Linked DNA regions of Anolis sagrei. The protein of the gene in region 1 purifies or fractionates together with the protein of each later gene. This does not show direct contact. Links are inferred from orthologs where the notes say so. Each region holds a gene or a part of one and is shown in the gene's direction. Other genes may lie near its edges.

Region 1 (7,745 bases):
GCAGTCATGCCGGCCACATGACCTTGGAGGTGTCTACGGACAACGCTGGCTCTTCGGCTTAGAAATGGAGATGAGCACCACACCCCAGAGTCAGACATGACTGGACTTAATGTCAGGGGACTACCTTTACCTTTACTATGCTGCCATATAAACCAGTCCGAAGCAGATAATTTGGCTTCAGAAACAGGATGATATGGCAGTGTAGATGGAGCCTCAAGGACTTAGGCGTTCCTTCTTGGGTGGATTGAACAATTCAGAAGGTTCAAAATATATGTAAGAAACATACTTCTCACAATTGGCTGCCTTGGAGCAAAATTGTTTTCTGCTGCTTTAGACACCAGGACCCAAAGCAATAGATTCAAATTACAGTCAAAGACATTCCGAATAAAGATTGAGGAGGAATTTCTTAATGCTAACAGATATTTGACAGTGGAAGATACTGCCTCAGACTTTCCTCCTTTGGAAGTTTTAAAACAGAGATTAAAAGGCCACTTCACGGAGAAGCTTTAGAAGCTGATTCCCGCATGGCAGGGGTTTGGATTAAGTATCCCTTGCTGTCCTTTCCAATTCTATGATGCTAATTTTGGTACTTCTTCTCTTGTAATGTGCGGTGGGCTTTGCGGATGCTATCTATAACAGCAGATTATCTAAAAATAGCTGGTGGGAGTGGGAAGGAGTGCAGGTCATTTCTAGTTTCTCTTCTTCAGTAGTTCTAACTGGGGAATCTGTTTCAGAGGCTGGATCTACACTGCCATTTAATGCAGTTTGGAATTGCACTGTATGGTCAATGTAGAGCAATATAACACAGTCATTGAACTACCTTATATGTCTATGCTATTCATATAATGCAGCTTGGAACTGCTTTATATGGCACTGTAGATCTAGCCTGAGGCATTCTGGAAAGGGGTGAATTGGATTTTGTATCAGCATTGTCTAGTGTAGCACTTCTCAACCTTCCTAATACCGCAGCCCCTTAATACAGTTCCTCATGTTGTGGTGACCCCCAACCATAAAATTATTTTCGTTGCTACTTCATAACTGTATTTTTGCTACTGTTATGAATTGTAATATAAATATCTGGATGTATTTTCATTCACTGGATCAAATTTGGCACAAATACCTGATACGCCCAAATTTGAATACTGATGGGGTTGGGAGGGGGATTGATATTGCCATTTGGGAGTTGTAGTTGCTGGGATTTACAGTTACTTACTTACTTAGGCGATCCCTCATTGGACGAGTAAGTCTTCCATGATCAGTATTCTTGTGGTTCTGTGGGTGACTGTGGAGCCCTATTCTTGACCTGCATCTTCTCCCACAGTGAGGGCATTGGTTTCCAGGAGGAAGGCGTTCTCAGTTGGGGTTGGCTTGACACACCTTCCTCTTGGAAGGCGTTTCTCTCTTTCACCCTCCATTCGTGCCTCTTCAAATTCTGCAGCACTGCTGGTCACAGCTGACCTCCAGCTGGAGCGCTCAAGGGCCAGGGCTTCCCAGTTCTCAGTGTCTATGCCAGAGTTTTTAAGGTTGGCTTTGAGCCCAATTTTAAATCTCTTTTCCTGTCCACCAACATTCCGTTTTCTGTTCTTGAGTTTGGAGTCGAGCAACTGCTTTGGGAGATGGTGGTCAGGCATCCGGACAATGTGGCCGGCCCAGCAGAGTTGATGGCAGAGGACCATCGCTTCAATGCTGGTGGTCTTTGCTTCTTCCAGCACGCTGACATTTGTCCGCTTGTCTTCCCAAGAGATTTGCAGGATTTTTCGGAGGCAGCACTGATGGAATCGTTCCAGGAGTTGCATGTGATGTCTGTAGACAGTCCACGTTTCGCAGGCATATAGCAGGGTTGGAAGGACAATAGCTTTATAAACAAGCACCTTGGTATCCCTACGGATGTCCCGGTCCTCAAACACTCTCTGCTTCATTTGGAAAAATGCTGCACTCGCAGAGCTCAGGTGGTGTTGTATTTCGATGTCGATGCTGGCTTTGGTGACGTGGTGGCTGCCAAGGTAGCAGAAATGGTCAACATTTTTTAATGTTACACCATTAAGCTGTATCTCTGGCGTTGGAGAGGGATTGGTGTACTGGTAGTGGGTCTGTAGGTGACTGTGGAGCCCCATTCTTGATCTGCATCTTCTTCTGCAGTGAGGGCATCAGTTTCCAGGTGGAAGGCGGTCCCGGTCGGGGTTGGCTTGATGCGCCTTCCTCTTGGCACGTCTCTCTCTTTCACCCTCCATTCGTGCCTCTTCAAATTCTACAGCACTGCTGGTCACAGCTGAATTCCATCTGGAGCACTCAAGAGCCAGGGCTTCCTGGTTCTCAGTGTCTATACCAGAGTTTTTAAGGTTGGCTTTGAGCCCATCTTTAAATCTCTTTTCCTGCCCACCAACATTCCATTTTGAGTTCGGAGTAGAGCAACTGCTTTGGGAGACGGTGGTCAAGCATCCAGTCCAGAGGAGTTGATGGTTGAGGACCATGGCTTTGATACTGCTTCTCTGCTTCTTCTAGCACGCTGACATTTGTCCGCTTCTCTTCCCAAGACACCTCATTCTATTGTGGAGAGATATTATACAACACATCACACAGGCTTTTTGCCAGGACTTGCGAGGCCTTATTTTTTGAAACTTTGTTGTTGTTCATTCGTTCAATCGTTTCCGACTCTTCGTGACTTCATGGACCAGTCCACGCCAGAGCTCCCTTTCGGTCGTCACCACCCCCAGCTCCTTCAAGGTCAATCTAGTCACTTCAAGGATACCATCCATCCATCTTGCCCTTGGTCGGCCCCTCTTCCTTTTTCCTTCCATTTTCCCCAGCATCATTGTCTTCTCTAAGCTTTCCTTTCTTCTCATGATGTGGCCAAAGTACTTCATCTTGGCCTCTACTATTCTTCCCTCCAATGAGCAGTCAGGCTTTATTTCTTGAAGTATGGACTGGTTGGATCTTCTCGCTGTCCAAGCCACTCTCAGCACTTTCCTCCAACACCACAGTTCAAAAGCATCTATCTTCCTTCGCTCAGCCTCACATCCGTAGGTGACTATGGGGAATGCCATTGCTTTAACTATGCGGATCTTCGTTTCCAGTGTGATGTCTCTACTCTTCATTATTTTATCAAGATTGGTCATTGCTCTCCTCCCAAGAAGTAAGCGTCACCTGATTTCCTGGCTGCAGTCTGCATCTGCAGTAATCTTTGCACCTAAAAATACAAAGCCTTTCATGGGCTCCACGTTTTCTCCCTCTATTTCCCAGTTGTCAATCATTCTTGTTGCCATAATCTTGTTTTTTTTAATGTTTAGCTGCAACCCAGCTTTTGCGCTTTTTTCTTTCACCTTGATTAGAAGGCTACTCAGCTCCTCCTTGCTTTCGGCCATCAAAGTGGTGTCATCTGCATATCTAAGGTTGTTAATGTTTCTTCCAGCAATTTTCACCCCAGCCTTGCATTTGTCAAGCCCTGCACATCGCATGATGTGTTCTGCATACAAGTTGAATAGGTTGGGTGAGAGTATGCAGCCTTGCCGTACACCTTTCCCAATCTTGAACCAGTCTGTTGTTCCATGGTCAGTTCTTACTCTTGCTTGTTGTTCATTCGTTCAGTCGTCTCCGACTCTTTGTGATCTCATGGACCAGCCCAGGCCAGAGCTCCCTGTCGGCCGTCGCCACCCCCAGCTCCTTCAAGGTTAGTCCAGTCACTTCAAGGATGCCATCCATCCATCTTGCCCTTGGTCGGCTCCTCTTCCTTTTTCCTTCCACTTTCCCCAGCATAATTGTCTTCTCCAGGCTTTGCTGTCTCCTCATGATGTGGCCAAAGTACTTCAACTTTGTCTCTAGTATCCTTCCCTCCAGTGAGCAGTCGGGCTTTATTTCCTGGAGGATGGACTGGTTGGATCTTCTCGCAGTCCAAGGCACTCTCAGAACTTTCCTCCAACACCACAGCTCAAAAGCATCTATCTTCCTTCGCTCAGCCTTCCCTAAGGTCCAGCTCTCACATCCGTAGATTACTACTGGGAATACCACGGCTTTGACTAGGCGGATCTTTGTTGCCAGTGTGATGTCTCTACTCTTTACTCTTGCTACTTGGTCCTTATACAGATTCCTCAGGAGAGAGACAAGGTGGCTTGGTATGTCCATACGACCAAGAACTTGCCACAATTTATTATGATCCACACAGTCAAAGGCTTTGGAATAGTCAATGAAGCAGAAGTAGATGTTTTTCTGAAACTCCCTGCCTTTCTCCATTATCCAACGGATATTGGCAATCTGGTTTCATTCCTCTGCCTTTTCTAAACCCAGCTTGTACATCTGCCAACTCTCTCTTCATGTATTGCTGGAGTCTTGTGAAACTTAGTGCAGGCCAAAGCTCTCTCCTCGAGTACCTAAGATAGAGACACATACGCCAGTGGTGTAACTAACTACAGCCTTTATGGGGAGGAAACAAACGTTCCTCAATTGCTCTGAACAGGCCATTGCGGCCTTGTTTACTTGAGGCGTGCTGAGCTAGGCCTCGGCCTTTCCCCTCACGTATGTGTGTTGTGTAGAGAGATATATATGGGCAGTGTTATTATGCCTTTCGGGAGGGGGGGGGAAGAGACGCCAAGGAGGGGAACTGAGGAGAGCGCCCCCCCTGCAGCCTCTTCACAATGAGGCGTCCCAAAGACTGGGATGACATCAGTCGCTCGTCTCCAAAAAGGCGCGTCCCCATTGGCAGGGAAGGCTCCTCCCGCTAGCCAATCAGCGCAAGGGAAGGCATCAAGTCGGGCGGGCTGACGTGCGAGCTCCCGTCTCTCTCTCTCTCTCCGCCGTACGGGGGTTTATTTTGCTTTGGGACACTCCATCCGCCGCCGCCATTAGGTCCTCCTCCTCCTCCCCCTTTTGGCCAAAGTGGTACCGCCCTCCCTTCGACTTCCCACATCCTTTTGCCCTCCCAGAGCCGGAAGAAACCATGTCCTGAGCGCGCGCGGGGGGGAGGCTGGGGTGGGTGGGAGGCAGGCAGGCGGGCGGCTGGCGGAGGGGAATGGGCCGCAGCTGGTGCTTCTGAGGAGGCCGCCGCCGCCGCCGGATTAGAAGAACGGCCCTGGAAGGTAAAGTAGAGCTCTTCTCCTCCATTATGGGGTTGTTTGTGTTGGGGTCGGGATTAGGGAAAGAGGAGGAGGAGGAACAGCAGAACCTACCTTTCGGGACTTCGAAGCTTCCTGAGGGAGATGGACTTGGTGAGGCCTTTCTTTGAAGGAGGAAAGCGGGGGGGGGGGGGGGTTGCACTTTTGGGGGGAAAGGGGGGTTTGTGAAGGGCCTCCCCCTGCTTTCCTCTTCGCCATTTCAGTTTAATTTGGTTCCTTTTGGCCTCCCTTTTTAGTCAGGGTAAAGGATGCCTTAGAAAGGCCGCTCCTTTAGAAGAGCTGGACCCTGCCCTGTCCTCTTTCCTTCAAAACAACATTGTATTTCAAATAGGAGAAGTTCCTGGGCTGTCCCTTGTGAGAGTCGTGCCTCTACCTTTCCCCCTTTGAAAAACAGTCCTAGTTTGTTTAAACTAGGATTTTATCTTCTGAGAGTTGTACCTCTTTTCCTCTTTAAGAAACAGTCCCATTTTGTTTTAAATAAGAGATGTTCCTGGGCATTTATCTTGTGAGAGTTGTACTTCTTTCTGTCCTATCTCCTTCAAAACAACATTGTATTTCAAATTATTGGATGCTCCTAGGATTTTATCATGTGGGAGTTGTACCTCTTTCTTTTCCCCTTTAAGAAACAGCCCCATTTTGTTTAAAATAGATGTTCAAGGGCTTTTGTCTTCTGAGAGTTGTACCTTTAAAAAAACACTCCTATTTTGTTTTAAATGGAAGTTCCTGGGCTGTCTCTTGTGGGATTTGTACCTTTTTCTTTTCCCCTTTAAAAAACAGGCCCATTTTGTTTAAACTAGGAGATGCTCCTAGGATTTTATCTGCTAAGACTTCTGTCTCTTTCCCCCCCTTTAAAAAACAGTCCCGTTTTGTTTTAAATAGAAGTTCTTAAATGTTATCTTGTGAAAGTTGTACCTCTTTCTTTCCCCTTTAAAAAACAGACCCATTTTGTTTAAACTAGGAGATGCTCCTAGGATTTTATCTTGTGAGAGTTGTACCTCTTTCTTTAAAAAAAACACTCCGATTTTGTTTTAAATCGAAGTTCCTGGGCTTTATTTTGTGAGAGTTGTCCCTCTTTCTTTTCTCCTCTGAAAAACAGTCCCATTTGGTTTAAAATAGGAGAAGTTCCTGGGCTTTATCTTGTGGGAGTTTTATCTCTTTCTTTCCCCTGTCCTCTCTCCTTCAAAACAACATTGTATTTCAAATAGGAGATGCTCCTGGTATTTTATCTTGTGATCGTTGTACCTCTTTCTTGCCACCTTTAAAAACAGTCACATTTTGTTCAAATTGGGCCTGTTCCCCCCCCCCCCCATTTCTGGGGTTTTTGTCCTTGAAAGGTTTTTGCTTGGGTGAGGAAAGGGATCTTTTCGAGAGAAAGGTGATTTTCTAAAACTTTTACGTTGTGGTGGTGGGGAGCTGAGCAAGAGGCCCTATCACCCCTGCCATGTAGTGAAGTTTGGAACTGCATTGAGCTGTATTTTGTGAGTCTACACTCACCATATAATGCAGTTCCAAACTGCTTTTTCTGGCAGTGTCGATAAAGGCCAACTATTACAGGGAGGCTGTGCTTGTGTTTTGGATGTAATGACATCACCAGCCTAGTCCCTTGCGAGGATTTGGGATTTGGAGGCACCTGCCCTGGAGGGATGCTGCTGTTGCAACTGCCTTGTTGTTTACCAGGAAATGCAGCGCATGACGGTGGCTCAGCCAAGGGTTGGCTTTCTGAATTTTTAACAGTATTAATGCGTACCTGATGTTGTACTGAGTCACTTGCTGCCTCTCTCAGGCTTTCTGGAGGAAACCACGAAGTATTGCAACTCTTGTTTTGCTTGCCTTGATGCTGGTGCGACGGCATTTAAAAGACGCTGTGGTTTGCCTTGATGGCATCACTTCTGCATTCAACAAGGAAGGGGGGATTTGCTACAGTCAATGCTTGGTTATGGTCCACCCACTACATCCGTCAGCAATGTGTTGAATTCAGCTTGGCATATGCATCAGAGGGATGTTTCTGTGTGCATAGTTATCCACATTTAGTGCTGCAGTCCCTACATCTTACTACAGTGAGGTCATACCTCTTCCATCTTCCGCCCCTCCTCTTCCTCATTTATTCATAGATGATAACCTGTGTCTGACTCTCTCTTCCTCTGTTACAAATATGATGCAAACACTGCTTGTTTTAATGACATGGTAGTTAAATTATTCACCATTGCTTAAATAATGAAATCAACATCTAGTAATCCATATCAGTCTTTCACAGCAGTAGCTCTTTAGACTGTATGTTTCTTCAGTTTGAAAGAATTGTATACCCCTCAAACCTTGTATCTTGCAGTCCTCTTGTTGAATTTGCATGTGTTAGGGGATTTAATTAATAGACACATATCTTTTGTATTTTACTCCTTCTTCTGATCTTTAGTATATTACCCATACCACCACATAGTAGCATTGGTGAGATGAGAACAGAATACCTCCAAAGTCAGTCGAGTTTATGCCTTGCAGTTTTGTAATCACACATTTTTGGTATGACCAAGGGATTGTTTTCCAGCATGTCATGAGTAATGACACTATAACTGTTCATTCTTCTGATTGCATATTATTGCTTTCAGGGTCAAATATCTACCTACTTTTTTGCAATCATATCATGGT
Region 2 (6,980 bases), on another chromosome or scaffold:
ATAACTCATCCTCTGGAACCATAAAGAATTAGATAGAGAGGAGTCGGATTGCCAAGAAAGTGTGCTTTCAGATAAGGGTGTCCTCTCTGAACCTAAAGAGGTGGAAGATGCCTTAATGCTGTGGGATTATGGGATTTGTAGTTTGGTGAGGCACCAGAATTCTTTGCCAGAGAATAAGGACTTTGTAAAACTACAACTTTCATGATTCCATAGCATTTAGTCATGGCCAATAAAGTGGTGTCAATGTGCATTAATTCTGCAGGATCGATGTTCCCCCAGTCTCTAAGATACCTATAATAAGCATGTATTATTCATGGATTTTTACATAAGAACTTTTTTAACATTTTACATGAGAATAGGACACTGGGTTCATATTGTCATTATATTTTGGGGTATCCAAATCTTACAAGACTTGCAGAGCCAGCTTTGGTAGACTAGAATAAGCAGCATTTTTCACTTCGAGACCCTCTTCTAAAATAGTGGCCCCATCTATATGGCCATATAATGCAGTTTCATATTGCAGTTTATTTGCATTGAACTGCACTGTACGAGTTCACAATGCCATGTAATGCATTTCAGTGCAGTTAAACTGCATTACGAATGCATTATATAGCAGTGTAGATGGGACCAGTGTCTCAGAAATCCCTTGACTTGCCCCAAAGCTGGATGTGTTTTTGCCTATCTGTCTGTATGTCTTAAATAAGTCAATCTATTCAGGATTCCTTTACTCCAATGGCGTTTCTTCTTCCTCTTGGCTAAAACAGTTGCACTTTTGTTTTGGGGTTTCCTTTAATATTTTAAAACAGCTGTAATTATAATACATCCATTGACTTGGAGCAGCAGGCTCACTCAATGAGAAATCTCAGAGCCTTTAGCTAGGGATGATCTTTTGGCTTCTGAAGGACAGCTTTTCCCTTTGATCACTTTAAATAAAAGCCAAAATCAGCCCTTGTGTTTTTATTATTAAGTTACAGCAGGAAAAACAGCGAATGAAAACCTCAAAAGTACAGCATGAAAAGAGAAAAGAAAGGGGAGAGAGGAAAAAATAGCTGCATCTTTAAGACAAAGAGCCATCCAGCCATAGATATAGATAAATATGATTCTGTGTAGATATGGTATCATGAAAGGGACCCCATAAAGAAGGACAATTATATGTTGCATATTCCAGAGGAGGCAAACCAAACAATCTCCACATCAATACTGACAAAGAATCAGCAAGAAATACTGTTTACCCGCAAGCATAAAGAAATTACATTTATTATTATTATTATTATTATTATTATTAACTTTATTTGTACCCCGCTAACATCTCCCGAAGGACTTGATGCAGCTTACAAAGGCCGAGGCCCTCAATAAAACAACAACATAACAATACATTATATAACTCATAAGCAAATCAAAAAACATTAAAGCAGTAACAATAAACAATAAAACAATACACCATGGCACATTTAAAAACTATGGCCGGGCCAAATGTAATGGGTACAGTTAAAAATGCTGGACATGACAGGTGAAATGTAGGATTCTAGGATAGGTGCAATGTGCAGACAGTCTTAAATCTCTAATAAAGTGCGTTTGGGACATGATGCTGGGAGTTTCCTATTCTGGAAAGGCACACTGGAACAGCCAGGTCTTCAAGCTCTTCCTAAAGACTGCCAACGTTGGGGCTTGTCTGATGTCCTTGGGGAGGGTGTTCCAGAGTTGGGGGGCTACCACAGAGAAGGCCCTGTCTCTCGTCCCCACCAAGCGCGCTTGTGGCACAGGTGGGATCGCAAGCAAGGCCTCTCCAGATGAACGGAGGGAACGTGTGGGTTCATATACGGAGATGTGGTCACGCAGGTAGACGGGTCCCATACCGTTCAGGGCTTTGTAGGTAAGCACCTGCACCTTGAATTTGGACCGGAAAATGAACGGCAGCCAATGGAGCTCCTTAAACAGGAGGGTTGACCTCTCTCTGTAAGGAGCACCAGTCAACAACCTGGCCTGCTGGACATATATTAGAAGCCAATATTACTTTCTCATTACTTCCTTTTCCAGATCACCAGACTGGGCCACAGCAAGGCGTGGCAGGGGACGGCTAGCAAATAAATAAATATAGATAGGGAAGGATGTTAACTTCAGCCCTCCCCCCAGGTGTTTTGGAGTTCCACAATTCCTAATGGCCTCAGGCTCCTTGAGGCTGTTAGGAATTGTGGGAGTTGAAGTCCAAAACACTTGGAGGGAGGGGACTTCCACAATTCCTAATGGCCTCAGGTTCAATGAGGCTGTTAGGAATTGTGGGAGTTGAAGTCCAAAACATCTGGAGGGAGGGGACTTCCACAAATCCTAATGGCCTCAGGTTCTCTGAGGCTGTTAGGAATTGTGGGAGTTGAAGTCCAAAACATCTGGAGGGAGGGGACTTCCACAATTCCTAATGGCCTCAGGTTCTCTGAGGCTGTTAGGAATTGTGGGAGTTGAAGTCCAAAACACCTGGAGGGAGGGGACTTCCACAATTCCTAATGGCCTCAGGCTCTCTGAGGCTGTTAGGAATTGTGGGATTGAAGTCCAAAACATCAGGAGGGAGGGGACTTCCACAACTCCTAATGGCCTCAGGTTCTCTGAGGCTGTTAGGAATTGTGGGAGTTGAAGTCCAAAACACCTGGAGGGAGGGGACTTTCACAATTCCTAATGGCCTCAGGTTCTCTGAGGCTGTTGGGAATTGTGGGAGTTGAAGTCCAAAACACCTGGAGGGAGGGGACTTCCACAATTCCTAATGGCCTCAGGCTCTCTGAGGCTGTTAGGAATTGTGGGATTGAAGTCCAAAACATCAGGAGGGAGGGGACTTCCACAACTCCTAATGGCCTCAGGTTCTCTGAGGCTGTTAGGAATTGTGGGAGTTGAAGTCCAAAACACCTGGAGGGAGGGGACTTTCACAATTCCTAATGGCCTCAGGTTCTCTGAGGCTGTTAGGAATTGTGGGAGTTGAAGTCCAAAACACCTGGAGGGAGGGGACTTCCACAATTCCTAATGGCCTCAGGCTCTCTGAGGCTGTTAGGAATTGTGGGAGTTGAAGTCCAAAACACCTGGAGGGAGGGGACTTCCACAATTCCTAATGGCCTCAGGCTCCCTGAGGCTGTTAGGAATTGTGGGAGTTGAAGTCCAAAACACCTGGAGGGAGGGGACTTCCACAATTCCTAATGGCCTCAGGCTCCCTGAGGCTGTTAGGAATTGTGGGAGTTGAAGTCCAAAACACCTGGAGGGAGGGGACTTCCACAATTCCTAATGGCTTCAGGTTCTCTGAGGCTGTTAGGAATTGTGGGAGTTGAAGTCCAAAACATCAGGAGGGAGGAGACTTCCACAATTCCTAATGGCCACAGGTTCTCTGAGGCTGTTAGGAATTGTGGGAGTTGAAGTCCAAAACACCTGGAGGGAGGGGACTTCCACAATTCCTAATGGCCTCAGGCTCCCTGAGGCTGTTAGGAATTGTGGGAGTTGAAGTCCAAAACACCTGGAGGGAGGGGACTTCCACAATTCCTAATGGCTTCAGGTTCTCTGAGGCTGTTAGGAATTGTGGGAGTTGAAGTCCAAAACATCAGGAGGGAGGAGACTTCCACAATTCCTAATGGCCACAGGTTCTCTGAGGCTGTTAGGAATTGTGGGAGTTGAAGTCCAAAACACCTGGAGGGAGGGCCCAAGTTTGCCCAGGCCTGGGCAAACTTGGGCCCTCCCTCCAAATGTTTTGGACTTCAACTCCCACAATCCCTGGCCTCCTTAAGCGAATGAGAGGGAAAAGAAAAGGCCTGAGGCCAGGAATTATGGGAACTGTAGTCTAAAACGCCTGGAGGGAAGGCCCAAGTTTGCCTATGCTTGATGTGGCTAGATAGACTCAGGAAGGGCTGCTGGGAACTACCCTTCCCGCCATGCCCCGGGCCTCTCCGCGCGGAAGAGCGCGCGCGGGGCAGTTTGTCCCTCGCGGGGCGCCGTAGCAGCAGCAGCAGCAGCAGCACCCGGCGGGGGCGGTTAGCTGTCAGGCGCTGACGGGGGACGGGCGCGCCCAGTTGGTCGCCGCTTCCCCGGCGGCGGCTGAGGCGTCGTCGTCGCTGCTTGTGAAGAGAGGGGAGGGCCTTCTCTCTCCGGCTCCCTCGCTCTTTCTCCGGCCATGGACGAGCAGGCGGGGCCCGGCGTCTTCTTCAGCAACAACAACAACAACAACGCGCTGCTCCTGCCTCCGCCGCCGGCCTCCTCTTCCTCTTCCTCCTCCTCTCAGGCCGAGCCTGGGGAAGCGGCGGCAGCGGCGGCAGCAGCAGCGGCTGTGGCAGCGGCGGGAGGCGTCGTCGGCCCAGCGGGTGCCTCTCCTTCTTCTTCTTCTCCTTCCTCGGGAGCGGCGGTGCCGGCCTCTGCGGCGCGGGCTCAGTACAGCGTCCCCGGCATCCTCCACTTCCTGCAGCACGAATGGGGCCGCTTCGAGGCCGAGCGCGCCGAGTGGGAGGCCGAGAGGGCCGAGCTGCAGGTGCGTCCCTTCTCGGGCAAGGCTGGGCCAGCCTGGGAGTGCCAAGTTTTGGACCAGGCCTTTCGCCTCCTCCTCAAACTACAGCTCCCAGGACCCCACAGCCTTCAGCCCTGGTGGCAGTGGTGTTTATTTATTTATGTATCATGTTTTTAACAAACAAACAAAACACAAAGTTTGCAAGCTTGGTAGTTGATTAAATGTCCTTTGACCAGTAGCTAGCCACTTGGAGTTCCTCTGGTGTTGCTGGAATGGTGTCATACATACATTCATTCCTTACCTGCCTCTCCTCTCCCTTTCCCTCCCTTCTCAACCGTTTCTTGAATTGCTTTCCTTTTATTAAGGGTTTTTTTTAATCGTGTCAGGAGCGACTTGAGAAACGGCAAGTCGCTTCTGGTGTGAGAGAATTGGCCATCTGCAAAGACATTGCCCACACATTCATTCCTTACCTGCCTCTCCTCCCCCTTTCCCTCCCTTCTCAACCGTTTCTTGAATTGCTTTCCTTTTATTAAGGGTTTTTTTTAATCGTGTCAGGAGCGACTTGAGAAACGGCAAGTCGCTTCTGGTGTGAGAGAATTGGCCATCTGCAAAGACATTGCCCACACATTCATTCCTTACCTGCCTCTCCTCCCCCTTTCCCTCCCTTCTCAACCGTTTCTTGAAGTGCTTTCCTTTTATTAAGGGTTTTTTGTTTTGGTCGTGTCAGGAGCAACTTGAGAAACTGCAAGTTGCTTCTGGTGTGAAAAAATTGGACGTTGCCCAGGGGATGCCCAGATGTTTTTATGTTTTTACCATCCTTGTGGGAGGCTTCTCTCGTATACCCTCATAGTTAAAGCAGTGGTATTCCCCATAGAAATAGTTTTCTAAGATCTACAAAGACACTCGCTGGAACACCTCAGCAAGCAAGAGTCCAAAAGTGGCAGGCTCAAACCCAGATCCTCAACCAATGGCTGATGCCAGATGAGAGACTCCCCCCTGGGCACACAGAAGACTGGGTGACTTGGAAGGCACTGAACAGACTGCACTCCTCACCATGAGATGCAGAGCCAACCTTCAGAAATGGGGCTACAAAGTGGAATCCTCGACATACAAGTGTGGAGAGGAGCAAACCACTGACCACCTGCTGCAATGCAACCTGGTTCCTGCCACATGCACAATGGAGGACCTTCTTGCAGCAACACCAGAAGCACTCCCAAGTGGCCAGATACTGGTCAAAGGACATTTAATCAACTACCAAACTCACAAATTGTGTATTCTGTCTGTCTGTTTGCTTTGTTCTGTTAGAAATGTAATATAATATGACTGGTTGTCCAGACACGACAAATAATTAAAATTCCCCGTAGTCAGGCCCGTAGCCAGGATTTCAATTCGGGGTGGGGGGCTGAGTTTGTTTGGGGGGGGGGGGCTGAGTCTGAGTGAAAGAGGGTCTACCCTAGCAAACCTTTTGTATGGGATATATTGAGTATGGTGATCAGATCATGATATGAATAAACATAACAGTTTAAATAATGCACCAGAAAGGCCTTTTCGCGAACCACCATGAGAATTTCGGGGGGGGGGGGCCTTGGGGGGCTACATGCCTGCCCGTAGTAACCTATGGATGTGAGAGCTGAACCATAAGGAAGGCTGAGCAAAGGAAGCTAGATGCTTATGAACTATGATGCTGGAGGAAAATTCTGAGAGAATTGGTCACCTGCAAAGACATTGCCCAGGGGACGCCCGTATGTTTTCATGTTTTTACCATCCTTGTGGGAGGCTTCTCTCATGTCCCCGCATGGGGAGCTGGAGCTGATAGAGGGAGCTCATCCACGCTCTCCCCGGATTCGAACCTGCGACCTGTCGGTCTTCAGTCCTGCCGGCACAGGGGTTTAACCCACTGCGCCAACAGGGGCTCCTTTTATTAAGGGTAAAGGTAAAGGTTTTCCCTTGACATTTAAGTCCAGTCATGTCCGACTCTGGGGGGTGGTGCTCATCTCCATTTCTAAGCCAAAGAGCCGGCATTGTCCATAGACACCTCCAAGGTCATGTGGCTGGCATGACTACAATGAGCGCCGTTACTTTCCCGCCGGAGCGGTACCTAGGAAACTTTACCAGTCCAATTAGATTTGACGCAGATGACCAAGATGGTTTTTAATATTTTGATAAATGTTTTTAATGTTTATGTATACTTCTATGAATTCTTCTCTCGGCATTGAATGTTTGCCGTATATATGCTGTGCTCCGCCCTGAGTCCCCTTCATGGTGAGAAGAGTGGAATATAAATGTTTTAAATAAATAAATAAATATTGATCTACTTACATTTGCATGTTTTCGAAATGCTAGGTTTACAGAAGCTGGGGCTGACAGCGGAAGCTCACTCTGATCCCCGGGTTTGAACCTGCGACCTTTCAATCAACAAGTTTAGCAGCTCAGTGGTTTAACCCACTGCACCACCGGGGGCTCCTTTTATCACACTATTATTATCATGCTTTTATTTTCATAGTTCAGGGGAAGG
Region 3 (7,719 bases), on another chromosome or scaffold:
AAAATACTTGGCCCCTGGGAGTGAGACCTATTTAAATGGTAAAACATTGAAAAAGGCATTGGGAAGATTTTATTATGTTTTGAAATCTGACACATTTATTGTGTTTTTATGTGCAGTTTTGTGGTTTGTTAATTAGTGCCTTTGAAAATGGAAAGTTAATTTGTAAAATCAGAGAAAATGCCATGAACTAAGGCCTCATCTATACTGACCATTTAATGCAGTTCAAAGCTAGCTTCAAACTGTGGTGGCTAGAGAATAAACCTTCACAAAAAATGTTTTAAAAGCCCTTAACGTGCATCAATGCTCTGTGGTTTGGGGAATCATCACCCAGGCCTTCAACTGGTTCCAGGATTTTCCTAGGTAATCATATGTACATTGAAACCACTTTCTTCAATACTGATTTGAAACTGTATTAAATTGTCAGTGTAGGTGGGGCCCAAATCATATTTACACTCATTAGAGTAGACCAATTATGTCTATAGGATGTGTTGTCTCACCATTCAACAACTGATTGAAAGAGACTACTCTGCTTGGGACTAGCCATAGATTTTGCATTCACAGATTCAACTGCTCTTATTTTTACTGATAAAATGATTTAAAACTATTTAATTAATTAATTAAATTTGTTTTCCACATGACAACTTTCAAATATGTTTTGTTTTAGTCATTTTAGGTCCCATATTTGAAGGAAGGCAGGATATGAATTAAATAAATACAACAGAAAATCCATTATGGGGAAAAAAACATGAAATAGCTGTACAGTTCCTTTGAGTTGTTAATATGAGAAGTGCTACATTGAGAAATGCCTGAAGCATTGTGTTGTACTTCCACTTCTCCTTAATATATTCCATGTGGTAAAGATGATGTAATTAGTAGTGGAAAAACAAAGGAGGCTTAGAAGAACAACAGTCTCTATAGACCCTGTAAAATTCCAGCAAAAAAAGGGCTATTGGCAAGTATCTTACTTTCTTAACTGTGAGTTACTGTGATGTTCATGGAACTTAACAGTTCCATGAACATAAACCTACTTCTGAGTAAACAGTCAAAGAGTTAAATGGAATTTACTTCTGGGCAGCACTAAAGTAAATCTAATGCTAGTAATATTTATTGAAATAAAGAGGACCTAGGATAACTAAAACAAAACAAAATGACCATAGGTGATTTAAATAATCTTAAAGTAGATAATTAAAACATTGAACTAGGTCAGTATCTTCCATAACTTCGTCCAGTCATCAATCAGAACAGAGACTGTAGGCAAGAAATCAGAAGAAGACTACTACGACAAATAATAATACATTTTATGTTACTCGGTTCTCCTAACAGCTTGAGGTTAACAGTCAAAACATACGAAAATAAAATACATATAATAAAATATATCAATAGAAATGCACCATTATAAAAACATACATCAAATACAGGGTACAAAGATGAACATATAGCAGTAATAGAATTCAAATCCAAAATTCATGTTTCAAAGTTGACTGGGTAGGTCTGACCGAAGAGATAGGCCTTTAATTTTGGTTTAAATTTGGACAGCTCTTAAATTTGTTGGTCCTCTGGCAGATCATTCCAGAGTTTTGGGGCAGCCAATGAAAAGGTCCTCTGGGTGACAGTTGCCAGTCAGGTTCTGGTTGGTTGGAGTAGCTGACCACCAGATGACCTCAGTGTCCTAAGAAGGTGACCCTGTAGGTAACCTGGACCCAAACCATGTAGGGAGCTACAAAGGCTTGGAAGGGAAATTATGAACTAAATAAGATCCTGAATTGTAAGGATATATTATTAAATACTAAAATTAGAATTGCCCATGCCATCATGTTTCCAATTTCTATGCATGGTTGTGAGCGCTAGAAGCAACAAAAGCTGATAAGAAAAAAAATGAAATAATTTGAAATGTGGCGGAGAAAGGTTCTATGGATACTGTGAACTGCTGAAAAGACAAATGAATTAATTATATAATAAATCAGGTCTAAACTCTCCTAAAAAGCCAAGATGACTAAACTGAGACTGTTGTATTTTGGACTTAGCATGAGAAGACATGACACACTAGGAAAAAAATGACAAAGCTTGGTTGAGGATAGTATGAAAAGACTGCAGGTGGATGGATTCAAAGAGACGGTAAGCAAAGAGTCAAAGGCTTGGAAACCAATCCCTATGAGGGAGCTGGATATGTTTAGCTTGGAAAAGAGAAGATTGAGAGGAGATATGTTTGTCATATTTAAGTGCCTGAAAAGATGTCACACTGAGGAGGGGGCAGGCCTGTTTTCTGCTAGTCTGGAGACAAGGAGCAATGAATTCAAACCAAAGGAAAATAGATTCCTCTTAAACATTAGGAGGAACTACCTGATGATAAGAGCTGCTTGGCAATGGAATATGCTGCCTGGAGTGTCCTTCTCTGGGGGTTTTAAAGCAGAGGCTGAATGGCCAACTGTCGGGGGTGCTTTGTTTGTGCTTTCCCTGCATGGCAGAATGGGATTGGACTGGATGGCCCTTGGGATCTCTTCCAACTCTATGATTCTGATTCATTAATGGGGCCACCGTAAGCTGAAGTTAACTCGATCACAACATGACTAAAAAGGCCCATCAATTTCCACTTTAGATGGTGCCAGCACTGGATTTAAATCCAATGTTAATGCAATGATGACTGCCAGAAATCTTGAAGGAACACAGGCATTTTTTTCACAGGCAAGGGACACTTAGAGCCCTTCTACACAGCCATATATCCCAGAATATCATGGCGGAAAATCCCACAATATCTGTTTTGAACTGGGATATATGGCAGTGTGGACTCAGATAAGCCAGTTCAAATCAGATATTGTGGATTATCTGCCTAGTTATTGATGACTCCACACTGCCATACATCCAAGTTCAAATCAGAAAACGTGGGATTTTATTCAGCTGTGTGGAAGGGGCCTATGTGTTAGTTTTCCCAGATCCTGTCTCAGAAATACAGCCTGGAGTTAGTTGGCAGCCTCCCATCCAAGGTCCCTTCCACACAGCCATATAACCCAGAATATAGAGGCAAAAAACCCCACAATCTCTGCTTTGAACTTAAATATATGGCAGTGTGGACTCGGGGTCCTTCCACACAGCCCTATATCCCAGAATATCAAGACAGAAAATCCCACAATATCTGCTTTGAACTAGGTTATCCGAGTCCACACTCCGATAATGTGGGATTTTCTGGGATATAGGGCTGGGTGGAAGGACTCCTGAAGTTTTCAGATTTTTGGACCATTTTCAACCCCAAACTATTCAAATTTGCCCTCGGACATGGTGCTTTTTCTTCAACATCCAGTGACTGTATTTCTATACACAAAAAGATTGTCTACAGCTGACATCATGAAGTGGCATAAAAGTATTGCAAGGACAAGAATTGGCCTTTATTTGCAAAATACTTGGCCACTGGGAGTGAGACCTACTGAAAATGGTAAAATGCTGAAGAAGGCATGGGGAAGATTTTATCATGTTTTGAAATCTGACACATTTATTGTGTTTTTATGTGCAATTTTGTGGTTTGTTAATTAGTGCCTTCGAAAATGAAATTTATTTATTTATTTAGAGCTTTTATAACCCGGTCTTCTTGACCTCTGAAGAGGGACTCAGGGCGGCTAACAGCAGAAAATTCAACACAAATATAGCAAACATAATATTTATTATTTATTACTTATTTATTTACTTTGCTTATATACTGCTGTATCTCAAGTCCGAAGGCGACTCACAGCGGTTCACAAACAGTAAAAACAGTAGAAACAGCAGTGGTTCCATACAACATATAACAATTGACTTAACACATTATCCATAAATTACCAATAAGCAATTACAATGCACAATTATTACAAAATAATTAATTAATAGCATCATAATACATTAATACAAAATACACTAAAATACAGATCATACAATATCATACAATTACAAAAGCCAGGGCTGGTTAATTTGTAAAATCCGAGAAAATGCCATGAACGAAGGCCTCATCTACCCTGACCATTTAATGCAGTTCAAAGCTAGCTTCAAACTGTGGCGGCTAGAGAATAAACCTTCACAAAAATGTTTTAAAAGCCCTTAATGTGCATCAATGCTCTGTGGTTTGGGGAATCATCACCCAGGCCTTCAACTGGTTCCAGGATTTTCCTAGGTAATCATATGAACATTGAAACCACTTTCTTCAATACTGACTTGAAACTGTATTAAATGATCAGTGTAGGTGGGGCCCAAATCATATTTGCTCTCATTAGGGTTGATATCCTGGGATATAGGGCTGTGTGGAAGGGCCCCAAAACTAGCCAGGACAGGCCCTGCTCGGCCTCCAAGACCAGATGGGATTTCGGTGAGGGCATTTGGCACCACACAGGTGTCATGGATCCAGGCTGTGGGGCAGTCCTGATCTTTGAAACATTCTGAATTAACTTTTTAGTTCCCCTGAGGACAGCGAGAGCATTATTTTGCCCGCCTTCCCATAGAAGACCTTTCCCCGCTCGCTCTGGATAAAGGACAACACTGAACTTCAACTAGGGCAACAACCTCCTCTTGTGTTCCCGAAGAGATCCGGAAGCGGCCCGGTTAGTTCAGGGCAACCAGCCGGAAGCCACAGGCTTCGCGTCCCCTTTCCGCGCATGCGCTGCCCGGGCGCGCTGCGGCTCTGCGCCTGCGCAGAGGAACCCGGGCGTCCCTGAGCTTTGCTTTCGGCTCCTCCCCCTGCTCGGCTCCCTCCTCCCCCTCCCCCTCCCTCCCTCCCTCCTGCTGCTGCTGCCATACCGGGTAGGTTTCCAGTCAGTATGGCGGCTCCCACTGCGGCTGGGAAGGTAAGAGCGGTTGGCGAGGGAAGGGCAGGGAAGGGAGGGGAGGAGGAGAAGGAGAAGGAGAAGGAGAAGAAGGAGGGGAGCTTCCCGCTTGGCTGTCCTTCCTTCCTTCCGCGAAGGGCGGCCCTCTTTCCTTCCCTCGCTCGCTCGCTCTCTCCTGAAGTGGGAAGGCGGCGGTTGGGCCGGCCTCCCCTCCCCGCTTCAGCTTCCCCGGCGTTTGTTTTGACGCTTCTCTTCTCTTCTTTTTCCCACAGGTCGGAGGAAAGTTTTCCTCGTCGACGGACTCCTGAGGGAGGCAGAAAGCGAGAGAGAGAAGGTTGGGAAGGCAGGCAAGAAGGCGCCAGGCCTGCACCTCAGCCAAGAAGAAGAAGCAGCAGCAGCAGCAGCAGCAGCAGGAGACACCTGCAGTGCCCTGGCCCCTCTCCTTCCCCTTGGCCATCGCCTGCTGTCAGATCTGCCTCCCTGCTCAGGAAAGGCCACCGCCTGGGATGCCTTCCCAGGTGCATGGAGCCCTCTTGGCCGGGAAGAGCGCTCCCCTGCCTCCCAGGAGCATTGGGCGGCCGGCCCTTTGAGTCCTCCTGCCTGGGCCTGAGGAGGAGGAGGAGGTGGTGGTGGAGGAGGACAGGCTTCTTTCTCCCTTCGCCTTGAGGTGCCTCACTCTGCCTTGATGCCCGAGGAAGACGAGCCGTGGACTCACCCCTGGACTGGGCTGACCACCTTTTTCTCACGTTGGGTTGTTTTGCAGTCCTTTGGCCCTTCCTTCCCCCGTTTCCCCACTCCCTGAATCTTGCCCCGCGCGAGGGAAACTCCTGGGCCCTGTTGATGGAAGGGAAAAGCGCGATTACATCCCAAACAGGAATTTTCGCGTGAGTCATTCGCTTGGAGTTATAGCCATCCCCACCTTAATTTAACAAGCTCTGTTCCTCTTCAGATGCTTGTCCTCATTATTGACAGACATGGATTAAAGTGGAACTTTGCAGACTCGCTGCCGGAGACAATGGGGCTTTTTTGCTGGATTATTGCCCGCACTGGTTCACACACTGAAAGTATGCGTTGTTAGATCTCACTGGCAGATAATGTTTGCCCTGCTTTAATGTGAAGTGTTGCGAGGTTTTTGCTCATCAACTGTGGAGGGTGGCTTGGGTCAAGAAGAGTTTCTCTTCTTTCCTGGTTGGTGTGGCACCGCATATCTCTCCTCGATGCCTTCAGCCTTGGCTATCTTCACTTGCCGCCCGAACTCTCACCCGTTTCAAGAACGCCATGTCTACCTGGATGAGCCTGTCAAAATTGGGCGCTCAGTGGCTCGATGTCGACCCGCTCAGAATAATGCCACCTTTGACTGCAAGGTCCTGTCTAGGAACCATGCGCTTGTCTGGTTTGATCAGAAAACAGGAAAGGTAAGACACCCTACATTCCCCAAGAGAAGTAAAATAAACTTTGCATTTCCTTGTTTTCATTAGGGCAGTGGTTCTCAATCTGTGGGTCCCCAGATGTTTTGGCCTTCAACTCCCATAACTTGAAACGTAAACTCCCATAAATCTTAACAGCTGGGATTCCTGGGAGTTTTAGTAGATTCATGGGAGTTTTTGTTTATTTATTATTTATTTATTTACATCACTTTTTTCCCGCCCATTTCAGCCCGAAGGCAACTCAGGGCGGCGTTCAAATCGGCAACAATTACATGCCGTATATAAATACATACATCAGTTAAAAGCAAAAAATTACATCAAATACATTAAAAACCATAAAAGCAATAAAAACAATAAAATTATAAAACTATGTCTTCCTGTTCAATTCCTGTAGTTTTAGCAATTACACAAGTGGGGGAACTTCAGGGGCTCATTTCTCCCTCATTTTTACAGCTGTTGGGGAGGAACTTGCTACAATGGTAGAACACATTTACCACTGTTAGCCCATCAAGTGTCAGAACATTTCACTTAACCACAATATTTTGGGGAAATTTCAAAGATTTTACGAACAACATTTAAAAATAAAAGCTGCAAGAACTATCTCCTTGAATTGTCTATACAGTGACCCAAAATAATAGGGGATCATTTTCCTCAACTTTAAGAAATATTCATACATCTACTGATTTTAGGAATTTTTTTGACAAAAACCTTTTTTAAAAAATAGCTACAACATTGAATGTCTCTCATATTAACTAATAGAAGAAAGAAATATTAACCAATTCTTCATTTTCACAAAAAATCCTAGAGTTGGAGGGGACCCCCAAGGGACAACCAGCCCAGTGGTTCTCAACTTGTGGCTCCCCAGGTGTTTTGGCCTACAACTCCCAGAAATCCCAGCCAGTTTACCAGCTGTTAGGATTTCTGGGAGCTGTAGGCCAAAACATCTGGGGACCCACAGGTTGAGAACGACTGATCTAGCCCAACTCCCTTCTTCCAGGTAGAAGGGCACCATCAAAACTCTCCTGGCAGGTGGCCATCCAGCTTGTAAACCAAGGGCCATCCATTTAGGGATTTCTTCCCAGCCCAGCACTGATTTAAATAAATAAATAAATAAATAAATATTATTATTACTTACTAGAAGTATCCCCAAAATCCTGGGGACCCACAGGTTAAGAACGACTGCGTAACTGGTTGGCCTTGCTTGAGCCTCATAGACTAAAACTCAGAATTAACATTTAATAAATGGCATCTACTAAATAAATATGGATAAAGGTGTCCTAGCTGTTTTAAGCTTTTCTCAGTACAATATTGAACTATGATTATTGGATTTGGATCCATGTTAGGTTACTTACTTATTTGTTTGACATAAGTTGTATTTAGCTTTTCACATTTATTGATTTCATTGGGGCCTAACTACGACAACTAACCTAATTTAGAGCCTCAACAGTATTTTCTGAATGACTGTAATCATATCAGGTGCTATGAAGGATTTGAGTTTTTTTTAAAAAAAA
Region 4 (6,972 bases), about 90 Mb from region 1:
AAACATAAACATCTAAAAATAAATAAATGTAGAACTGGGATAACTTTGGATGTTCCACACAAAGTGCTGAGATTTGATGACAACATTAAGACAAAAGTTTGTTATTGATCTGAAGGGCACTGGAAGGAAATGATACACTGTAGTGTCGAATACTAACATGCTGTTAATGAAAAAAAAACTTTGTGCATTTTTTAAAAAAGAAGGATAAATGCCAAATGGTATCAGGCAATAGTCACATGAAAAGGAATGTTTACTCCAGTCGTTCTTAACCTTTTGGTGGTGAGGGAGAAGGTGAGGGACCGCACTGAGAATCTGACAAAAGCTATTAGGCAACAGTGACAAATTAATCTTACCTAACTTGGTTTGGAATAAATCATGTTTGCCCCTTATTAGGAATGAACCAATATCTTGATGGCAATAATTTAGTTAGAAAAAGTGTCTCCCCCTTTTCCTCTCCTTCCCATCCACTGAATTTGGACTGTAATCTCTTTAGGGAATTCAGAGTGATATAAGAGAATATGACCATCCCTGTCCAAAGGAACTTATAGCCCACATTTAGAGGATTGGAAGAGAGAAGCAGCCAATAGTAATCCAGCCTCAGAGGGTAATAGGAAGAGAACATCCTGATCCTCAGCAGCACAAAGAAAATTTGAAGAAGCCATAGAGATCAATACCATATAATCTGTATGCCTTTATAGAGATTATATAGTACATTATGTTCAGTGGAATATGTCCCATAAGGAATAAACCAGGGCTTCTTAACCTGTGCACCAAATATCCCATTTGCCAATTGCTCTGTATCAATACTAAAGCTTATAAATAAGCCAACAGGCAAGACGTTTTCCTTTTTTAAGGGGGTAGCTGGATTATGTTTTTCAGACAAGGAAATACATTTTTATAGATTTTTATTGTAATACACAGAGAGAGAGAGAGAGAGAGAGAGAGAGAGAGAGAGAGAGAAACATACAATCTTCGAAATTCAACAATCAAAATACAAGTATTATTTCCCACCACCTCCCCATTCCAACCTGTCAACCCCCACCCTCACTTTTCTTTACATAATACAAAGGTACAGGAATATTACTGAGTATTTATACCTCAGTATGATTGGACTTTTAATCATTTTCCCCTGGTTTCTCTGGCTATTCTATAGTCCAAACATAATACAAAGATTGACTGTAGCTCTGAGTCTTATTAATCTTATACATAGCCATCTGTCTAAGGTTCTCAAAAGTACTCATTTTGTTTTCTTCATAATCCTGTATCCTGACAAGAAATATGTTTTGAGAAAAGTATATATTTCTAAAACTGACAGCAGCCAACAATTCGAGCTACATAGAAAAAAATCTCACTTCAGTAAAAAATGGTACATTTCTGATGAAGCTTGCTGGTTCCAATGGAGATTTATGATTGGGTTGTTGTAGGTTTTTTCGGGCTATATGGCCATGTTCTAGAGCAGGGGTCCTCAAACTATGGCCTGGGGGCCGGATGCGGCCCTCCAAGGTCATTTACCCAGCCTTCGCTCAGGGTCAACCTAAGTCTGAAACGGCTTGAAAGCACACAACAATAACAACAATCCTATCTCATCAGCCAAAAGTAGGCCCACACTTCTCATTGAAATACTAATAATTTTATGTTTGTTGAAATTATTCTTCATTTTAATTATTGCATTGTTTTTAAGTGTTTTTTGCACTACGAAAAAGATATGTGCAGTGTGCATTGGAATTCATTCATGTTTTTTCCAAATTACAATCCGGCCCTCCAACAGTTTGAGGGACTGTGACCTGGCCCTCTGTTTAAAAAGTTTGAGGACCCCTGTTCTAGAGGCATTCTCTCCTGACGTTTTGCCTGCATCTATGGCAAGCATCCTCAGAGGTTGTGAGGTCTGTTGGAACTAGGAAAATTGGGTTTATATATCTGTGGAATGACCAGGGTGGGACAAAGAACTCTTGTCTGTTGGAGCTAGGTGTGAATGTTTCAACTGACCACCTTGATTAGCATTTTATGGCCTGGCAGTTTTTTGTGTGTGTGGCTTGTTAGTGCCTGGTGCAATCTTTTGTTGAGAGGTGATTAGATGTCCTTGATTGTTTCCTCTCTGTTGTTTTGCTGTTGTAATTTTAGAGTTTTTTAATACATGTAGCCAGATTTTGTTCATTTTCATGGTTTATTCCTTTCTGTTGAAATTGTCCACATGCTTGTGGATTTCAATGACTTCTCTGTGTAGTCTGACATGGTGGTTGTGAGAGTGGTCCAGCATTTCTGTGTTCTCAAATAATATGCTGTGTCCAGGTTGGTTCATCAGGTGCTCTGCTATGGCTGACTTCTCTGGTTGAAGTAGTCTGCAGTGCCTGATATCTGATTTTATTCAGCATTTTCCAGATTTTATTCAGGTTGAACCCCTTTAGGATTAAAAATGAAAAGCTAAACATTTCCAGCATTAACTGAATAATACACAATCAGTACAAAAGTTACTATATTTATTTATTATTATTTTATTTACTGCATTTATATCCTGTCCTTCTCAACCCCACAGGGGACTCAGGGCAGTTTACAAAATGCAGAAACACACACACCACACACAACCGTCAAGGTGTTCTAGAAAATTATTTCAGAGGTATCCAGAGGTTAAGGCAATCAGTGGTAGAGTTATTAAATAAGAGAGAGGAGTGGATAACGGGTAACTAAGGGCCCTTCCACACAGCCCTATATCCCAGAATATCAAGGCAGAAAATCCCACAATATCTGCTTTGAACTGGGTTATCTGAAGGTCTACACTCAGATAATGTGAGATTTTCTGCCTTGATATTGTGGGATATAGAGCTGTGTAGAAGGGCCTTCTGGCGGGATCTACACTGAGCTATATCCCAGGATTTGATCCCAGATTATCTGCTTTATTTATTTATTTTTATATCCTGCCTTTCTCACCCCGAAGGAGACTGACTCAAGGTGGCCTTACAACAAGCAGCAATTTGATGCCATACACACATCTATCAAATGAACAAATCATTATAACAATAGGTAAAGGTAAAGGTTTTCCCCTGACATTAAGTCCAGTCATGTCCAACTCTGGGGATTGGTGTTCATCTCCATTTCTAAGCCGAAGAGCCGGCGTTGTCGGTAGACACCTCCAAGGTCATGTGGCTGGCATGACTGCATGGAGCGCCATTACCATCCTGCCGAAGCGGTACTATTGATCTACTCACATTTGCATGTTTTAGAACTGCTCAGTTGGCAGGAGCTGGAGCTAACAGCAGGATATGAACCTTTCGGTCAGCAAGTTCAGCAGCTCAGTGCTTTAACCCACTGCACCACATATAATACCTAGTTAGATAAACCAGTGTGGTGTAACTGACCATTGGGACCTGGGTTCAAATCCCTGCTCAGCCATAGAAGTCCACTGGGTGATCCTGAGCAGGTCACACTCTCTCAGCTTCAGGGAAGGCAATGCGACGGCATCATCATAGCTCAAAATAATTTAAAGGCACACAACAATAAAGTGCTTATTCAACGCGATCACTATCACATTTTGTTATTCAACAGAGTAAATATGTGTTTCCCAACATATGGAAGAAAATACGTTTGTGTGTCTGTGCCTTTAAATCGCTTACTGATTTATGGCAACTCCATAATTTCATAATAGTTATGTGTAAGGAATACTCGGAAGAGATTGTGCCATTTTTTTCCTCTGAAAAAGCTGGTATCGGTTGGTAGTCTCCCATCCAGGCGTTCACCAGGGCTGAACCTACTTAGCTTCCGAGATTAGACGGGAGAGGCAGCGTAATGCCGCAAAGGAAAACATCCCAGCGATGATTTTGCCCTGACGGCGCTGCTTCCCCGTCTCCACCAATCACAGAACCCCGCGCGCGAGGGGCGTGGCCTGAAGGAGGGCGCTGCTCTCGGGAAGGCGTTTCCTGAACGGGTGGCCATGGCAACGCTATCGCAAGTGGAGAGCGCCTTCATTGACGTCAGAGGTGGGCGCGGAGGGGCAGTGACGAAGGCGGAAGTGGTGCCTGTGAATTGCTGCAAGAAGATGCGCTGAGGGAGCCTTCTTCCATTCGTGCCTCTCTGCCCCGCGATGGAGGTAACCGGACCGGGTGACGAGGGAAGCAGGGGCTGAGGGCTCTGGGCTGCCGTGTGGACAGGTTGACCCGGGTCTGAAGCAGTGTAGTCGCCTTTCACTCCTGACTTCGAGCGAGGGGGCTCCGCCACTTGGAGCTGACCCGCATTTGCGTTGCCTGAGGCGGGGAGGAGGCCCACTGTAGAATGAAGGCAGTTTGACACCACTTTATCTGCCCTGGCTCCATGCTGTGGACTCCTAGGAGCCTTCAGCCTTGTCTGCCAAAGAGGGCTGGTGCCTTACCAAACTACAACTCCGAGGATTTCATTTCCATGGAGCCATGGCAGTTAAAGTGGTGTCAAACTATATTAATGTTACAGTATAGATGCATCTTAAGATTCTAGATTGGTTTTGACATCCAGTACCAAATGCTAATTGGCATAATGGACTACAGCTCTGGAGACCTGAGTTCAAATCCTCTACCATGGAAATCCTCCCTCCCTGGACAAATCACACTCTTTGCCTCAGAAATCCCATTACAATTCTTGCCAAGAAAACCCTTGGTAGAGTCACTTTAGTCTGAAAGGACATAATGGTGCACACAGCAACAGCAAGCCTGAATTCATGGCCATTCATTATGAGTATTGAGGAGCCGCCAGTGGTGCAATGTGTTAAACCCTTGTGCCATCACGACTGCTGACCAAAAGGCCAGTGGTTTGAATCTGGGGAGCGATGTGAGCTCCCATCTGTCAGCTCCAGCTTCTCATGTGGGGACATAAGAGAAGCCTCCCAGAATGGTACAGCATCTGGGCGTCCCCTGGGCAATGTACTTGCAGATGGCCAATTCTCTCACACCATAATAATAATAATAATAATAATAATAATAATAATAATATGACTTGCAGTTTCTCAAGTCTCCCCCTTACAATAAAAATTATGAATATTGTTTCCCACACACACACCCCTGACTCATCCTACTAGTATGGTTAAAAGTACTGTGCAAAAGCAGATCCATACCTTTCGCCCCCTCCATTATCACAAACCTGACTTGTGGGAACGAGGGAGAGAGCTTTCTCCATAGTGGCCCCCCAACTCTGGAACCCATTGCCCAGTGAGATTAGGCTACTCCCCACCTTAGAAACCTTGAAGAACCTCAAAACGTGGCTTTTCCATTGTGCTTTTGGAGACTGATCTTACATCTCCCTTGTCATGCTCCCCTATAATGTGTGTCCTCATATTGCATTGTCTCTTGCCCACATGAAGGACTGTCTCTACCACTCGGTTGATGAGTCTCCCTTACAGATATATAGGTTTTTGTTTTTATCTCATCTTGAGTTTTTATCATTGTATCTTGCACATGTGGCCCATTCATTGTGCTTGTGTTTGATTTTCTATTGTATTACTTTGCACTGTTTATTATATTTTATGCTTGATTTATTTTATTTTACTGTAATGTTTGCTTTATGCTTTTTATTTTACTGTATTGAAGTGCACTTCTGGGCTTGGCCTCATGTAAGCCGCCCAAGCCCCTTCAGGGAGATGGTGGTGAAGTATAAATAAAGTTTATTTACTTATTTAAACAGCAAACTACAGGAAGGAAAAACTGGGTGAAACTCTGCTCTTCCTGCTGGCCTCTTGCACTTTTAAATAGATAAAGCAGAAATACAATACACAGACCATTTCACTGCACAGTTATTGTGGTTATTCACTTGATCCCAAGCTTTGGGACCTTGGGAATGACAGTATTCCCTGTTTTCACTGGCCCTTGATGACAGGTTTGACACTTCCAATTGTGTCTAAAATGTAGGCAAAAATCCTGTGTCTGATGACTTCAACAGCCACTGCTAAGAGAGGCTTACATCTGTGTAGAGGTGTTCTGTAAATCACATATATGGAATACTTAAAATTATTTATTTATTTATTTATTTATTTATTATTTGCATTTATTGACCGCCCCTCTCTTAACTGATCAGTTGTTTTTGCTTTAGCAACAACCTCATACATGTGAAAATCAAACATTAAAATAATTTATCTTTATGGTAGCTAAGTAACAGTTTGAATTATTCATAATAGTAGCTTGCAGGGTGTGGATATGGAATTACCCTGTTTATAAATATTATACAATGTTGATTCCTGCCCTTTCAACTTCAATGTTGAGATGCTGAAATGTAAGTAGACTATATGATAGTTTATTATCATTGAAGAGAAAATTAAGCACAAAAAATAAAATCCAGTGAGTAAAAATTATAGGGATAACATTTTATGATCAGGTTACCAGAGGTCAAAAGTATTTTGGGGGTCGTGTTTTTGAATTAGCATTCTGTCTGTTAGAAAGCCTGCCTAGGTAAATTGTTGTTCCTTTGATTCGTTCATTTTTCTGCCTCCCAAGCTGTTTAATCCCAATGTGAAGCTACTCATGTAGTCTGATATTGTGATTTCGTGTGTCACAACTATACTGACATATCACCTGCTACTCAGCCATGGTGTGTTGTGATGGAAATAGACCTTCTACCTTTGCAAAGTCTTTCTCTACATCTTTGAAAACTTTGAAAGTGTTCACTTCTGATTTAGATTAATTTTGGTATATCATTTAACCTGAACTTGACAAGCTGGCTGATTGGAATTGGGTTTATTTGGAACTAACCAGCTTGAAAGTGTGAGATATGAAGATGTTCTTTGTTTATTTCAACAGACCATTATTAAGATTAATCAGTTCAGGTGCCAAGCAATCCACTACATTATGATTACTCTAAAATAGAAGCAGAAATGTACGAACACCTCCTAGTATCTAGAAAATGAAAGGAAACTTGTCACCTCTGGATAGAAGAAGGCTAGATTTATCCCTATCACAGTAGAATCATAGAGTTAGGAGAGACCTCGTAGGCCATCCAATCCAACCCTCTGCCAAGAAGCAG

The links.
Region 2: the proteins of ZRANB1 (region 1) and STRN purify together in Homo sapiens (affinity purification with mass spectrometry; 4 studies listed by BioGRID and IntAct, with this or other methods). This does not show direct contact. The link is inferred for Anolis sagrei from reciprocal best matches to the Homo sapiens genes ZRANB1 and STRN.
Region 3: the proteins of ZRANB1 (region 1) and SLMAP purify together in Homo sapiens (affinity purification with mass spectrometry; 3 studies listed by BioGRID and IntAct, with this or other methods). This does not show direct contact. The link is inferred for Anolis sagrei from reciprocal best matches to the Homo sapiens genes ZRANB1 and SLMAP.
Region 4: the proteins of ZRANB1 (region 1) and GCC2 purify together in Homo sapiens (affinity purification with mass spectrometry; 3 studies listed by BioGRID and IntAct, with this or other methods). This does not show direct contact. The link is inferred for Anolis sagrei from reciprocal best matches to the Homo sapiens genes ZRANB1 and GCC2.

The regions. Positions count from the first base shown.
Region 1 is NC_090023.1:197,458,362-197,466,106, reverse strand, and holds the start of ZRANB1 (ubiquitin thioesterase ZRANB1), read left to right. Parts: upstream 1-4,723; 5' UTR 4,724-5,069; intron 5,070-5,134; exon of another isoform or gene 5,135-5,198; intron 5,199-7,745. UniProt on the Homo sapiens protein: Ubiquitin thioesterase, which specifically hydrolyzes 'Lys-29'-linked and 'Lys-33'-linked diubiquitin. Also cleaves 'Lys-63'-linked chains, but with 40-fold less efficiency compared to 'Lys-29'-linked ones.
Region 2 is NC_090021.1:51,293,133-51,300,112, forward strand, and holds the start of STRN (striatin), read left to right. Parts: upstream 1-3,977; 5' UTR 3,978-4,138; coding exon 4,139-4,489; intron 4,490-6,980. UniProt on the Homo sapiens protein: Calmodulin-binding scaffolding protein which is the center of the striatin-interacting phosphatase and kinase (STRIPAK) complexes.
Region 3 is NC_090022.1:57,663,143-57,670,861, reverse strand, and holds the start of SLMAP (sarcolemmal membrane-associated protein), read left to right. Parts: upstream 1-4,709; 5' UTR 4,710-4,802; intron 4,803-5,053; 5' UTR 5,054-5,998; coding exon 5,999-6,196; intron 6,197-7,719. UniProt on the Homo sapiens protein: Associates with the striatin-interacting phosphatase and kinase (STRIPAK) core complex, forming the extended (SIKE1:SLMAP)STRIPAK complex.
Region 4 is NC_090023.1:107,107,117-107,114,088, forward strand, and holds the start of GCC2 (GRIP and coiled-coil domain-containing protein 2), read left to right. Parts: upstream 1-3,963; 5' UTR 3,964-4,075; coding exon 4,076-4,081; intron 4,082-6,972. UniProt on the Homo sapiens protein: Golgin which probably tethers transport vesicles to the trans-Golgi network (TGN) and regulates vesicular transport between the endosomes and the Golgi.